Linked DNA regions of Canis lupus familiaris. The protein of the gene in region 1 purifies or fractionates together with the protein of each later gene. This does not show direct contact. Links are inferred from orthologs where the notes say so. Each region holds a gene or a part of one and is shown on either strand. Other genes may lie near its edges.

Region 1 (5,728 bases):
CCTGGGACCTTACTAGAAGGTCTACAGGCCAAATGAAGGAGGCACTGAATGGTAGGTACTCATTCTCCCAAATATATGCAGACTAAAGCTAAAACAGTTGCAGAAATGATTTAGCTCAATTTGGGGACAAGAGACGTGTATTTAATGCTAAGGCCATTTGAGGATATACTGACATTGTAGTTGACCTCAGGGACGATAGTCCTATCCTTTCCCCCGTACCCGCTTTGGTCCTACTCTAAGAGAAAGGATCCTAGATAATAGAAGGGCCATGAGTCTAGGCCAAGAAAAAGTTCTGTTGTTTTTGAATGTGGGGAGGAGAGAGCTGGGTGGAACTCGGGCTTGCCTCCATACCATCTCAGCAAAGATGCAGCCCAAGCTCCAGATATCTACGGCTGTGGAGTAGTACTTGCAGCCCAGAAGGATTTCAGGTGCTCGGTACCACAGGGTCACCACCTGGGAACAAGAGCAAGAAGGGGAGAGGTGGTGCATGGGGCACAGTGATTCCCACATGTCAGCTCCTCGGTGTTACTCTGCTAGTTCTCAGCCTGATCACAAGCAGCTTCTCTCCCTCTATCTTTCTTTTCCCATCTTTCTGACTTCCCCTGCGTAAAGTGATTACACACAACTTCTTAGACCAGAGTTAGCCTCGCCTGTGGCTCCAAAGACCCTATTTTCTGAACCCAAAACTTTCAACCTTCCTGGAAAACTCCTGAGAGAAGTGGTCATAATTTTAATGATATGCCATCCAGCTCTGCTGGCTTGGTACCTACTGAAGCCCAGCTAGCCCCGCAATATGAACTCAGTGCATACTCTAAAACCTCCTGGGGTGCCAGAGATACTTTCATCTAGGGAGAGAGAAACTGCTGGCCAGATAGGTTTAGTCATTTTGTAAATGTCCTTGTTAACACCTCCCAGAAAGTTCAGAGAAGAAGTGCAGACAGGGTCTCACCTCATGGGTGTAAGTACGAACAGGGACTCCAAAGGCTCTGGCTAATCCAAAGTCTGCTAGCTTGATGGCCCCCTCTGCGTTGATAAGCAGATTCTGAGGTTTGAGGTCTCGGTGCAGAACCCGATGAGAATGGCAGAAGGCTAGGCCCTGGAGCAGCTGGAACAGATAGCTCTGACGAAGGAGAGAGAGAGGACTTTGTTTCTCGACCACAGTGAGCTATTAGGCTCCACTCTGCCTGCAAAGCTGTACTAAAGCCTTTTACTGTATTAGATTATAATTGCATGTTTATAAGCTGTATCTCCCATTGGACTGCTAGTCTAGTGAAGATAAGGACTGGGTCCTATTTAGTTTTGCATCTCTTTTCCATATTCTGTGCCTAGCACATTGAAGGTGTTCAGTAAATGAGCACCGAATAAATGTTTGTTGATAGATTGAAAATAGCTCAGGGAGCAGAGAACCCAGCCCTAAGACAGACAACAGAGACTCACTGGCTATTTCTCCTACCAAACTAGTGGAAGGGGTTCTTGGAGGAATCTACCAAGTACCAAGTACCCTCCAGTCTCGTTTATCTGAGTTTCATCTGACCTTCCACCTGAGCTACAAAGTTGACTCACTAGAGTTTCAACTTCTTTGATTCTCCTGCCCTGCCCAGGGGTTAATAAGCATAATGAGCAGTGAAAGAGCCACAAAAGAAAGGTGTGTGTGTGTGTGTGTGTGTGTGTGTGTGTGTGTGTGTGTAGGGGGATGAGGGCTGGGAAGGAAGCTAAGATCACAGATCATCACCCAGTCTGAATTGCCTGCCTTCAGTCCCCCCAAAACGTGCCCATGTTGGGGGAGGAGTTGATGAGAAGGATTACCTTGATGAGGGGAAGAGGAATGCCAGTCAAAGCAGAAGCATCCATAAATTTCTTCAGATCCTGGTGCAGAAATTCAAAAACCAGGTAGAGTTTGTTTTCTGTGTGGATGACATCCAATAGCCTAGGGAGGGAGGTCCAGGAATGGAGGTGAGGAAGAGCGATGCCCCGGCCTCACAGAAGACATTCTCTTTTACCGCTGAAATATCTCCCAGACACATACTTACTTGACAATGTTCGGGTGGTTAAGCTCCTTAAGCAGGGAGATCTCTCGTATAGCAGTACTGGGTACACCCTCCGTCTCACTTGGGGAGGTTGAGAAAGCAGAGAGAGGAATGTGGTTACAAATACTGCTTTTCCCCCAGCCCAGTCTCCGAACGAGACACCACCCCAGCACACCCTAGGAAAGTGACAGAAGAGAAAGGGGGCTGTAGGAGTTAATTCACAGGTGGACAGGGGGGTGCTTTTTGGATACGTTAAGGTCATTATTTCTTCTTCTCCCACGGGTAGGTAAGTAAAGCCTTCTGGTGGAGGTGAAGAAGAGAGAAGGTAACGGGAGGAAAGAAGAGTAGCAGCACCCAGCCTCCCTAGACGGGCCAGTGAGGTTCAACTGCCATTCTTTTGAAAGGGGTAGAGAATTCTAAGAGGAGGGTGGGGTTGGGGCAGTGAGGAGGGCTCTTCATTCAGAAAGGTGCTCTTCACCGGTTCCCACAGACCTCAACTCCACGGGGAGTCTTGGACCCCCACCTCAGAGGCCTCCTTCCTCTTCCTGAGTCTTTCGGACTACACGTTTGGGGGCATCACTCGGCTTTGGGGAGAAAGTTTCCCACAGACTCTACAGTGCCCTATACTCTGCACAGGGAAACCCTTCACTGTCCTCCAGCCCACCTCTCCACTTCGAAAGAAGTCCCACCCTGCTACCTTCCGGTCCTCGGACGGCTACCCGCCTGTCGGGGTGGGGGCGGGGGGCACTCAAGAAGCTCCGGAGTTAGAGGAGTCCCGGGTACAGAGGCCACTCACGTGTCCAGGCGGATTTTTTTAAGCGCCACCACTTCTCCCGTCACTTTGTTTTTGGCTTTGTACACAACTCCGTACGTGCCCTCTCCGATCTTTTCCACTTTTTGGAAGTTCTCCATGAAGCAAGCGCTAGAGTCGGGTCAGCCCGGCCCCGGAGCGGGGGCCTGGGAACCCAGCAAAAGGCGGGCCCCGGCTCTCGGGGGCTGGAGGAGGGGAAACAGGGCCCAGCTCCGCGGCCTCAGGTCGGGATGGAACGGAGTGTATCTCTCGCTCTTGTCAATTTGTCCAACTTGAAACAATGTTGCCGCCTCCCCTCGGGTTCCCTACCGCCAGTGGAGGCCCCGCCCCTCCTTCCCGCGTTTCCCTGGCCCCGCCCCCGGCCCTTCCCATTGGCCAGCGTCAGAGCGGGGGGGCGAGCCCAGCGCGTCGCTGCCGCCAGTGACCCCACCTCGCGCAAGGTTACTACCGAGGGTCTTCGATACAAGTTTGTCACCTTGGGGAAGCTAAATAAACGTCTTTTTCCAAGTACCCAATTTGGAGTCGAGCTTCCTTCCTGTGTCCTGGGCCTGGAGGGATTTCCTGACCTCTGATTCGCCAACCCCAGAGAAAATGTGTCTTGCCCTAAGATTGAATTCCACCTGGCCCAGGGAACCGCCTTTGAAAAGCAGGAAGCTAGGAATCTCATCGTATGGGTGTCCTGGGCCTTGGACACGTCGTTCGCGCCCCTCTCTGCCTATCCTATCCTATCTCTCTGTTTGGAGATGCAGGGTCTCCATCTGTTTGAGAGGTTTCCTGGTTTGACTCAAAAACCAGATTGATCCCCTTAGCCTGTGGTGCACTGCAGGCGTCGAGTACACACGATGTAGCTAGCTGCCCTGCAGTCCATGTTTCCCCGGTCAAGAAGGTCGTGACCCAGTGAAACCAGAAACTGTCATTGAGTAGCGGGATGTCCAGGGACCAGGATCCCTTTTCAGTTATTTCTCTGGCCCTCCTGCCCCTCCCAAGCCTCTCCAGGAGGGAAAGGAGGATGGGCTATGCAAATGAGCACCCCTCTCCTATATAGGGGCTTGTCCCAGCACCCCCAGCGCCTTTGGTTGCTGGAAGAAAGAACAAGATGAATCTGGTGCCGAGAAAATGCCTTCTCCATGTGGCTGTGATGGGTGTTCTTCTGGCTGTGGGGGCCACAGAAGGTTAGTGTGGGGAGTATGGACATGAACAAGTGGGAGTTTGGGGTTGCACACCTGCTCTGATTTTTCTCCCTCCTCATGGGAGATACCAGCAATATTTCAGGCTTCTTCCACCCATTTGATTTAGCGAGGACATGGGCATCTGAAGTCCCTCTCTAGGTGGAAATTTGGGACTGAGCCTGAAAATAATCCCATCTGCTTGGAAGGGCAAAAGGATAGTAGGTCTTTGGGGCTCTAATTCTGAGACACCCCCACCCCACCCCCGGGGCAATGAGCTGGAGCAGGGGCTTTGAAAGGGAAATAAGTGGAAGACTTAGGGAATGACTCAGGCACTTGGGATAGGGTATTTAAAAGAAAGGAGTAAGAGAATGTGGTATTGATGTGGATAGAAAAGGTAAGGAGGTATCACCTCCCCTCTTTGGAATGGGGATGGGTAAATATAGCTCAGGCTTTTGTCCTGGGGCTGGAAGAGACAGGCAGAGGGGTCTCAGCTGAGCATCACATGAAAGGGCTCTGGGGGATTGGGGCCTCGTGACGGGAGCAAGGGGTGGGGGTGGGGGTGGTGAGAGGGTCTGGAATGTCCCGTGCTGCTCTGAGGAGGGAGGGTTGGGAGTGAAGAATGGGGTATCTTATGATTCTCTTGCTTTAGCGGTGGGATGCTCAGTGAGATTATTCTAGATCTACCCCCCACCCCCCCGCCCTCAGCAGACTCAGCTAGGTCTCCACTACACATTGAAAAGGAGTTTCTCCTGTGCTAAAATATAGATATCATATCCTAGTCTCCCCTTTCTCTCTCTAGATCCCTGGTCTCACAGACTTCTAGGAAATTTTCCTGATCTGACTTCCCTCATTTGTGCTCCAGTTTCAAGCCTTTTACTATTTCCTTAATGTATTCTGGAAATATTCTTTTCATTCTTGTGCACCTGAGCCTCTTAAAAGATGGTGCTTACTTTTTGGATAATGATTTTTTTAAGTCATAAGAAGACATTTTTAGATGAAACTTTATACGAATTGGGTTTGATCATTTTGTCTAGGGGGAAGTGACATTGTGCTTATTCAAGAAAATGTTCATATTTTTTTACAGATACGTATTGAGATTGTAGGGTTAAAATAACAAAATATCTGGAATTTGCTTTTAAATACTTTAGCCAACAAACAAAAGAGGATAGATAAAGCAAATGTGGCAAAATGATAGTTGTTGCATCTGGGTGAGGTGTAAGTAGATCCATCATATCCCTTTTTCTTAGACCTCTCTCTTAGTCAGTTATAATAATTTTGGCTGCTTGCCCCAACCACTGCCTGCCTATAGATCCATCCTCTTTACTGCTTGCCATACTGATCCTTCTAAAACACACATCTCATCATATTCAAAAAGCTTCTGAAGGGTGAATTTTATGGTATATGAATTATATCTCAATGAAAGAAACAATCTTCTGCCGTGGCCTTGCCTACAGAATAAAGGCCAAACTCCTTTGGTCGGGGCCTTCACTTGCCTTCCTGGCCTCGTCTCCTACGGTGTGTATCAACCACACTGCTAGTCCCTATCATGCCTCGCGCTACCATGGCTCCGTGTGTCTGCTTGTGCTGGTCCTGAGTGCTCTTTCCCACGCGCCAACTCCTCACTCCAATGGTCTTTCCCAATCCACCAGAGTGGAACTAATTTCTTTAGTCTGTCATTTTGTTGTACTTTGTGCATGTCTGTTATGGCTCATATTAAACAG
Region 2 (5,430 bases), on another chromosome or scaffold:
CTTCCTGTCCCACCTCACAGGATGCTCTGAGGACCAAGCTGAGGTGATGGGGAGAAAAGCACTCTGACACAGAAAGCACTACACATACATAACAGATCATCATTTTGTTGTGAAAGGCATTTTGGTTGGTAACTATATTTACCCCATACTTTCTTTAAATATGGTTTCCTATAGCATTTAAAGGGATCCATGTTATGAAGTATAATCACAACTGCTAGGGACACAAACAGGATAGGATGAAGTAGGTTCCAATTTTCAGAAGACAGTCTTAAAAAACTTAACAGTCTATTTGTTGTATGTAAATCTGGCTTCAATAAAGCTGACAAAAAAAAAAGTCTGCTTGCTTGGATATTTACTTCTCCTTCACTGTTAAGTCATGAATCCCTGCTTTTGAAAAACACTAATATGCTGTTTTAATCGGGACATATTAAATAAAGAAGTTTCCAAAACACACAACTAACTATATATTGGAAACACACAGTCCTACCTTTTATAATGGGTGCCAAGTGAAGGAAGACTGCATTTACAGGAAAGCATTTAAGCCCTCAAGGTAAAACAATACCTCACAACGTTGAAATCCAGTGCCACTCCAGAGCTGAGGTGTGGGTGAGGTCAAAAGTACTATTTCTCCTTCTTCCTCTTGCTACCTTCCTTTGGGGCACATTTTCTAGTGCCGCATCCCCTCTGCATACTCTGTTCAGAAGACTTCCCTGACCTCCCCAGCCTTCAGAGCCTCTCCCGTCTGACAATCTGATACCGGTGGCAATGACATTCATCACTCAGAGATGCCACCTAATCTCACTGGCATGCTATATACACGCTCCCCTTACTAGACTGCAAGTGCCCTGCGGGGAGCACCCTGGCTTGTGAGCTAGCTACCCAATGTCAGGAGTACTATTCTCTCCACCCAATGTCAGTCCCTTAGACTCACGCAACGGACACGATGGCTCCCCAGGCCAGTCCCTACAGACATGTGCTGCATGGTAGCAGTCCAAATCCCTCGTTTCTCAGGCCACCAGGCTGCCTCCTGCTCCTCCTAACCTCTCAGCTCTTCCCATGTACAGAACTCCCTTCAAATTCTATTATCACGGAAAAAGAAAACGCGCTTTGCTCCACCTGGCTCCATTTTTCTTCCAGGAGCCTCAAAAACACATCCCCTCACTTAAACGAGGTTGAGTCTCTCCCTACTTTCCCACCTACCCCAATGCCTTCACTCCTTTGATTGGACGTAATGTGATTCCTAGAGTCCTTTATTTGTTCAATATATATCCTTAGGATCTCTGTCTCAGACTACTGGTTACAGAAGACAAGGTTGTACCTCCTTTAATTTGCTCGATGACGATCCTTCCTTGGCCCCCGCACTGATAGACTCTGGCCAATAATGTGACGTGATGAAAACGTAACCAAGGTGACTTGACATAAGTATAATCATGAATTTTATTATTTAAATCAGAGCTATTAAAAATTTGTGTTCCCCATTTGGAAAAGAGTGAGCCCTCATGCTTTAGGAGGATCAACGTTGGAAAAGAAAGGGGAGAAAAAGTAGCCAAGAGGGAAAAATCCTTTCCGAAAAAATTTGTTGTGATTTAGCAGCGCATCAAGTAAATATCTGACCATCCATTAACAGAACTACCCAAAAAGGCCATTCTCTAGGCTCCACCTTGTTAACAGCTGAATGTATATATTCGGAAAACCCTTTCTGTTAAGTCTTGTGTTAGTAATTTATCCCTCTATAGAAAACACAATCTGCAATAGCCTCATTTGACAAGAGCAAAGCTGCAAAGCCATTCAAAAAGTTACCAGTTTCAGAAGACAAACTTCAAAGCTGAACTTGCCTGGTATGATCTATGTTTCATATGATTAAAGACTTTTCACTCAAACATAGCAAGATTAATGAAGCAAAAGAGATCTGTTCTATAGTAAAAGGGCATCTAAGTCATGGCTGTTTCCACATTTCTTACTTCAGACAAGCTGATTTGACAAAATAAACATCACACTCCACTCTATCAATTACAAAAAAGTATTAGTGACTTTTTGCCCCATGAGACTTATTTACTCCCCCCCCACCGTTTAACAAATTGTATTTAAACTAGATAAGAATCTCATGATATTTTAAAATATCCTTTCTCTCACACCTACATTACTATCCTTGAAATTGTATTAAAACCGAAGCCACAAAACCCAAGTAGTTTTGTTTCAACAGGAGAAACAGATTTTTTTAGACCATTAGTAGAAATATGCCAGTGGCCACAGAAATATTTGCACAAGCTGAACAGCTGTGTCTACTGCAAATCTGAAGGCATCGCTGCAGCAATATAATTCAATTTGGACCCATTCATTATAAACTGATTTTCAGATGCTGCTACTACCAAGACCGTACTGGAGAAATGCAGGCTGCGCTGGAGACAGAACTGTTCGCAGCGGTGCACAAGTTTTTACTGCAAAGGAGAGGTCTGAAAGAGGAAATACAACTCGATCATAATGCTACCGTGAACCAGCTCAGAAGAGCCCAGAGTTATTAAACGAATAGAAACTAAAATACTTAGGCAACTGATGGGATTACTTCACAAAGTTTTCATGGATGCTGTTTGAAAGAACGCTTCATTTAATACCTGGCTAAAAAAAAAAAAAAATTTTTTTTTGGAGGGGGTGGTGGTGGTGGGTGGGACCTGCGATTCCTACATTCCTTAACATAATTTTCTTTAATACACCCACAGTGTAAAAGCCCCACCAACTCAAGCCGGAGGATGTAGCCCGAAAGGATCTGCTGTACCTAAACTTTCTTTTAAGGTCATGCCTCTGAAGTTAAACACAGCACAGCAACTTGGATGACATCTTGCTAACCGAGTTGGGGCTGGTGCAAACGGAACGGCCTTGGGTAGACCCAACAACCAGAGTTTTTTCAAGACAAACTGCGAAAAGCATCTTCCCAAGGACCGCATCCCAAGAAACTTCCAAAGTCCCAACTCCCAGGTCGGCTGCTGCTACGAGCGAGCTGTGTGTGTGGAGCGTGTGTCCTGATCCGGATCGCAGCGCTGCGAATCGTGCTACCAGCTCAGAAAAGACTTTGGGTCGTCCCCCCACCCCCACCCCCGCTTCGCTGCACTTTTCCCCTCCGTCACCGGGAAGCCCACCCTCCGCTGTCAGCCCTCCAGGCAGCCCCGCGTGAGCCGACGCACGGCCGCACAGGGAGGCGCGCGGAACCGCCACGAAGCCCGGCGCGCTCCGCTCCCCTTGTGCTCCCCGCAGGTACCGCTCGCCTTCCGCGCGCGGAGGGCTCCCCAACTCCGGGGCTGGCCCCCCGCTCGGGGCCCCGGCGCCGTCCGGCCACAAACTTCCCCCTCGGCCCGGGCCGGCGGGGCCCCGGGCAGCGGCCGCGCGGGCTGGCGCCTCGGGGCGGGTCCCCCCGGCGCTAACCTGCGGGCTGGGCCCCCGCCCCCCGCCCGGGCCCCCCCTCCTCACCTGTGCTGTCATTCGCCGAGAAGCCGGGCGAGCTGAGTTTGGCTCGTTTGGGGTTGGGCGGTCCGTCCAGCAAGTTCTCGGCCATTTTCACCTGCTCGCGGAAACAGCCCCGAGCGCGGGCGGCCGGGCCGGCAAGAGCTCCGGGGCGGGGGTCGGCGCCGGCCCCGGCCGGCTGCGAGGGGAGAGCAGCGAGCGCGAGCCGCGAGCGAGCGCCGAGGGAGAGGGAGGGCGCAGGCCGGGTGGGGGAGGCGGCGGCCAAATCTCAGCCACAGCAACAGCGCCCCGCAGCGCTCACCGCCCGCCCCCGGCCGCCGCCGCCGCCGCCGCCGGCCGCGGCCCCCTCATCCCCTGCCCGCCTCCCGAGCGCGACACTCCGCGGCGGGGGCGCCCCGGCGGCCCGGCCGCCCCCCCGGGCCCGGCTGGCAGCGACGGCGCCCGGCCGGGCGGCTCAGGCAGTCCCCGGGAACATGGTGCCGCCGCCGCCGCCGCGCCGCCGCCTCGCTCCCCCCCCCCCCCCGCGCCCCACTTAATTAATTCGCTCGCGGCCCGACGACCGGGGGGCTCCGGGCTCCGCTCCCCGCCCGCGGCCCGCCGCCGCCGCCGCCGCCGTGAGGAAAAACAATGCGCGAAGCGGGGCCGCCGCCGCCGCCGCCGCGGCCCCCCCCACCCCCCGTTCCGCCGCCGCCGCCGCCGCCGCCGCCGCCTGCCGCCGCCGCCGCCGCCGCCGCGGCTCCGGGAGGCCGAGCCGAGAGGCGAGCGGGGCCGCCGGAGCGGGCACCGAGGGCCGGGCGGAGCGGGCCGGCCGGGCGGAGCGGGGGTGCGCGGGCGGTTGTGGGGCCCGGGACCGGCGGGGGCCGAGTAGATCGCGCTCGAAGCCCCGGTCGGGTCCGCGACAAGATGGCGGCTGTTGATTCCTCAATTAAAAAAAAAAGAAAGTTTTTTTTCTTCTCTTTCCAGAGCCTGAACGGGGAGGGGGAGGGGGCGGGGCACGCCGGTGCGTCACCCCCCCCGCGGCGTCACCACGCACGGCCCCCGCCCCGCCCCCTCCACCTGCGCCGTTCGCGGCGGAAAGAGCCGAGCGCGCTCGGGCGGAAGGGGCCGAAGGCGCGGCCGGCGTGCGTGGGGCGGCGGGGCTGCCCCGGCGGCGCAGCGGCCGCGCCTGTGGGACGCCCCGCGCCCCGCGCGGCAGCCACTTTTGTTCTGCTGGCCGCTGGGCGGCTAGGGCCAGGGCTGCGGCCTGGCGGCGAGCGGGGCCCCCGGGCGTGGAGTCGGCGCCGGCCGGGCCCGCCCGTCCCGCTGGGCGACTCTGCCCGGTCCCCGGTTCCTCGCGTCCCTGCCCGCGACCGTCTCCCGGTTGACCGGGCCTGGCCGCCTCCCCTCACCGGTTGCCAGCGACGCATCGGGGCTCCCGCAGGTTGCAGACCGTCCGCGAGTGTGTGCAGAGGGGGAAACTGAGGCAGGAGGGGGCAGGATCGGGACTCGAGCCCCCCCCCCCCAACTGGAGTGCGGGGGACGCAAGATGCCCTGTTCCCCCAGCCCGATGCGTCGGGGCTGCCTGCGCGACGGCCTCACCTGCACGGGAGGTGGTGGGTGCGACCTCCCCGGGCTGGGACCTCCCCTGCACCGCGGCCTGGAAGACCCCTTCCATCAGTGCGCCTCGGGAGCGCTCCCCCCGCCCCCGACAGCCACCTGGCACCCTGCGGGGGCTCCGCAGGTGTGGGGCCACCTCCCCGTGGGACAGACGGAATGCCGAGGTGTCCACGTCTCCGTGCCTGGGCTGCTTCCCCAGACCTGCCAGCACTTCACCTCCGAGTCTCCAGGGTCCTAAGGCAGAAACCAGCGAGTCCGCGCTGCCCACACAGCAGTCTCCCCACGTCCCTTACCTGTTCCTCGCGGTCCCTCTGCCCCAGGGTTGCCGCGCATCGCGCCAGTGGCTCCGGTGGCAGCTTCCCACCTGTGTCTCTTGCG

The links.
Region 2: the proteins of CDK2 (region 1) and CREBBP purify together in Homo sapiens (affinity purification with mass spectrometry; 3 studies listed by BioGRID and IntAct, counting the BioPlex papers as one, with this or other methods). This does not show direct contact. The link is inferred for Canis lupus familiaris from reciprocal best matches to the Homo sapiens genes CDK2 and CREBBP.

What each region holds. Positions count from the first base shown.
Region 1 is NC_049231.1:649,968-655,695, reverse strand, and holds the start of CDK2 (cyclin-dependent kinase 2), read right to left. Parts: upstream 3,183-5,728; 5' UTR 2,940-3,182; coding exon 2,824-2,939; intron 2,697-2,823; exon of another isoform or gene 2,551-2,696; intron 2,494-2,550; exon of another isoform or gene 2,290-2,493; coding exon of another isoform or gene 2,279-2,289; intron 2,109-2,278; coding exon 2,031-2,108; intron 1,928-2,030; coding exon 1,807-1,927; intron 1,121-1,806; coding exon 950-1,120; intron 454-949; coding exon 352-453; intron 1-351. Other genes in the region: melanocyte protein PMEL precursor, read left to right, coding at 3,935-4,010. UniProt on the Homo sapiens protein: Serine/threonine-protein kinase involved in the control of the cell cycle; essential for meiosis, but dispensable for mitosis. Phosphorylates CABLES1, CTNNB1, CDK2AP2, ERCC6, NBN, USP37, p53/TP53, NPM1, CDK7, RB1, BRCA2, MYC, NPAT, EZH2.
Region 2 is NC_049227.1:37,710,568-37,715,997, reverse strand, and holds the start of CREBBP (CREB-binding protein), read right to left. Parts: upstream 3,628-5,430; 5' UTR 3,548-3,627; coding exon 3,463-3,547; intron 1-3,462. UniProt on the Homo sapiens protein: Acetylates histones, giving a specific tag for transcriptional activation. Mediates acetylation of histone H3 at 'Lys-18' and 'Lys-27' (H3K18ac and H3K27ac, respectively).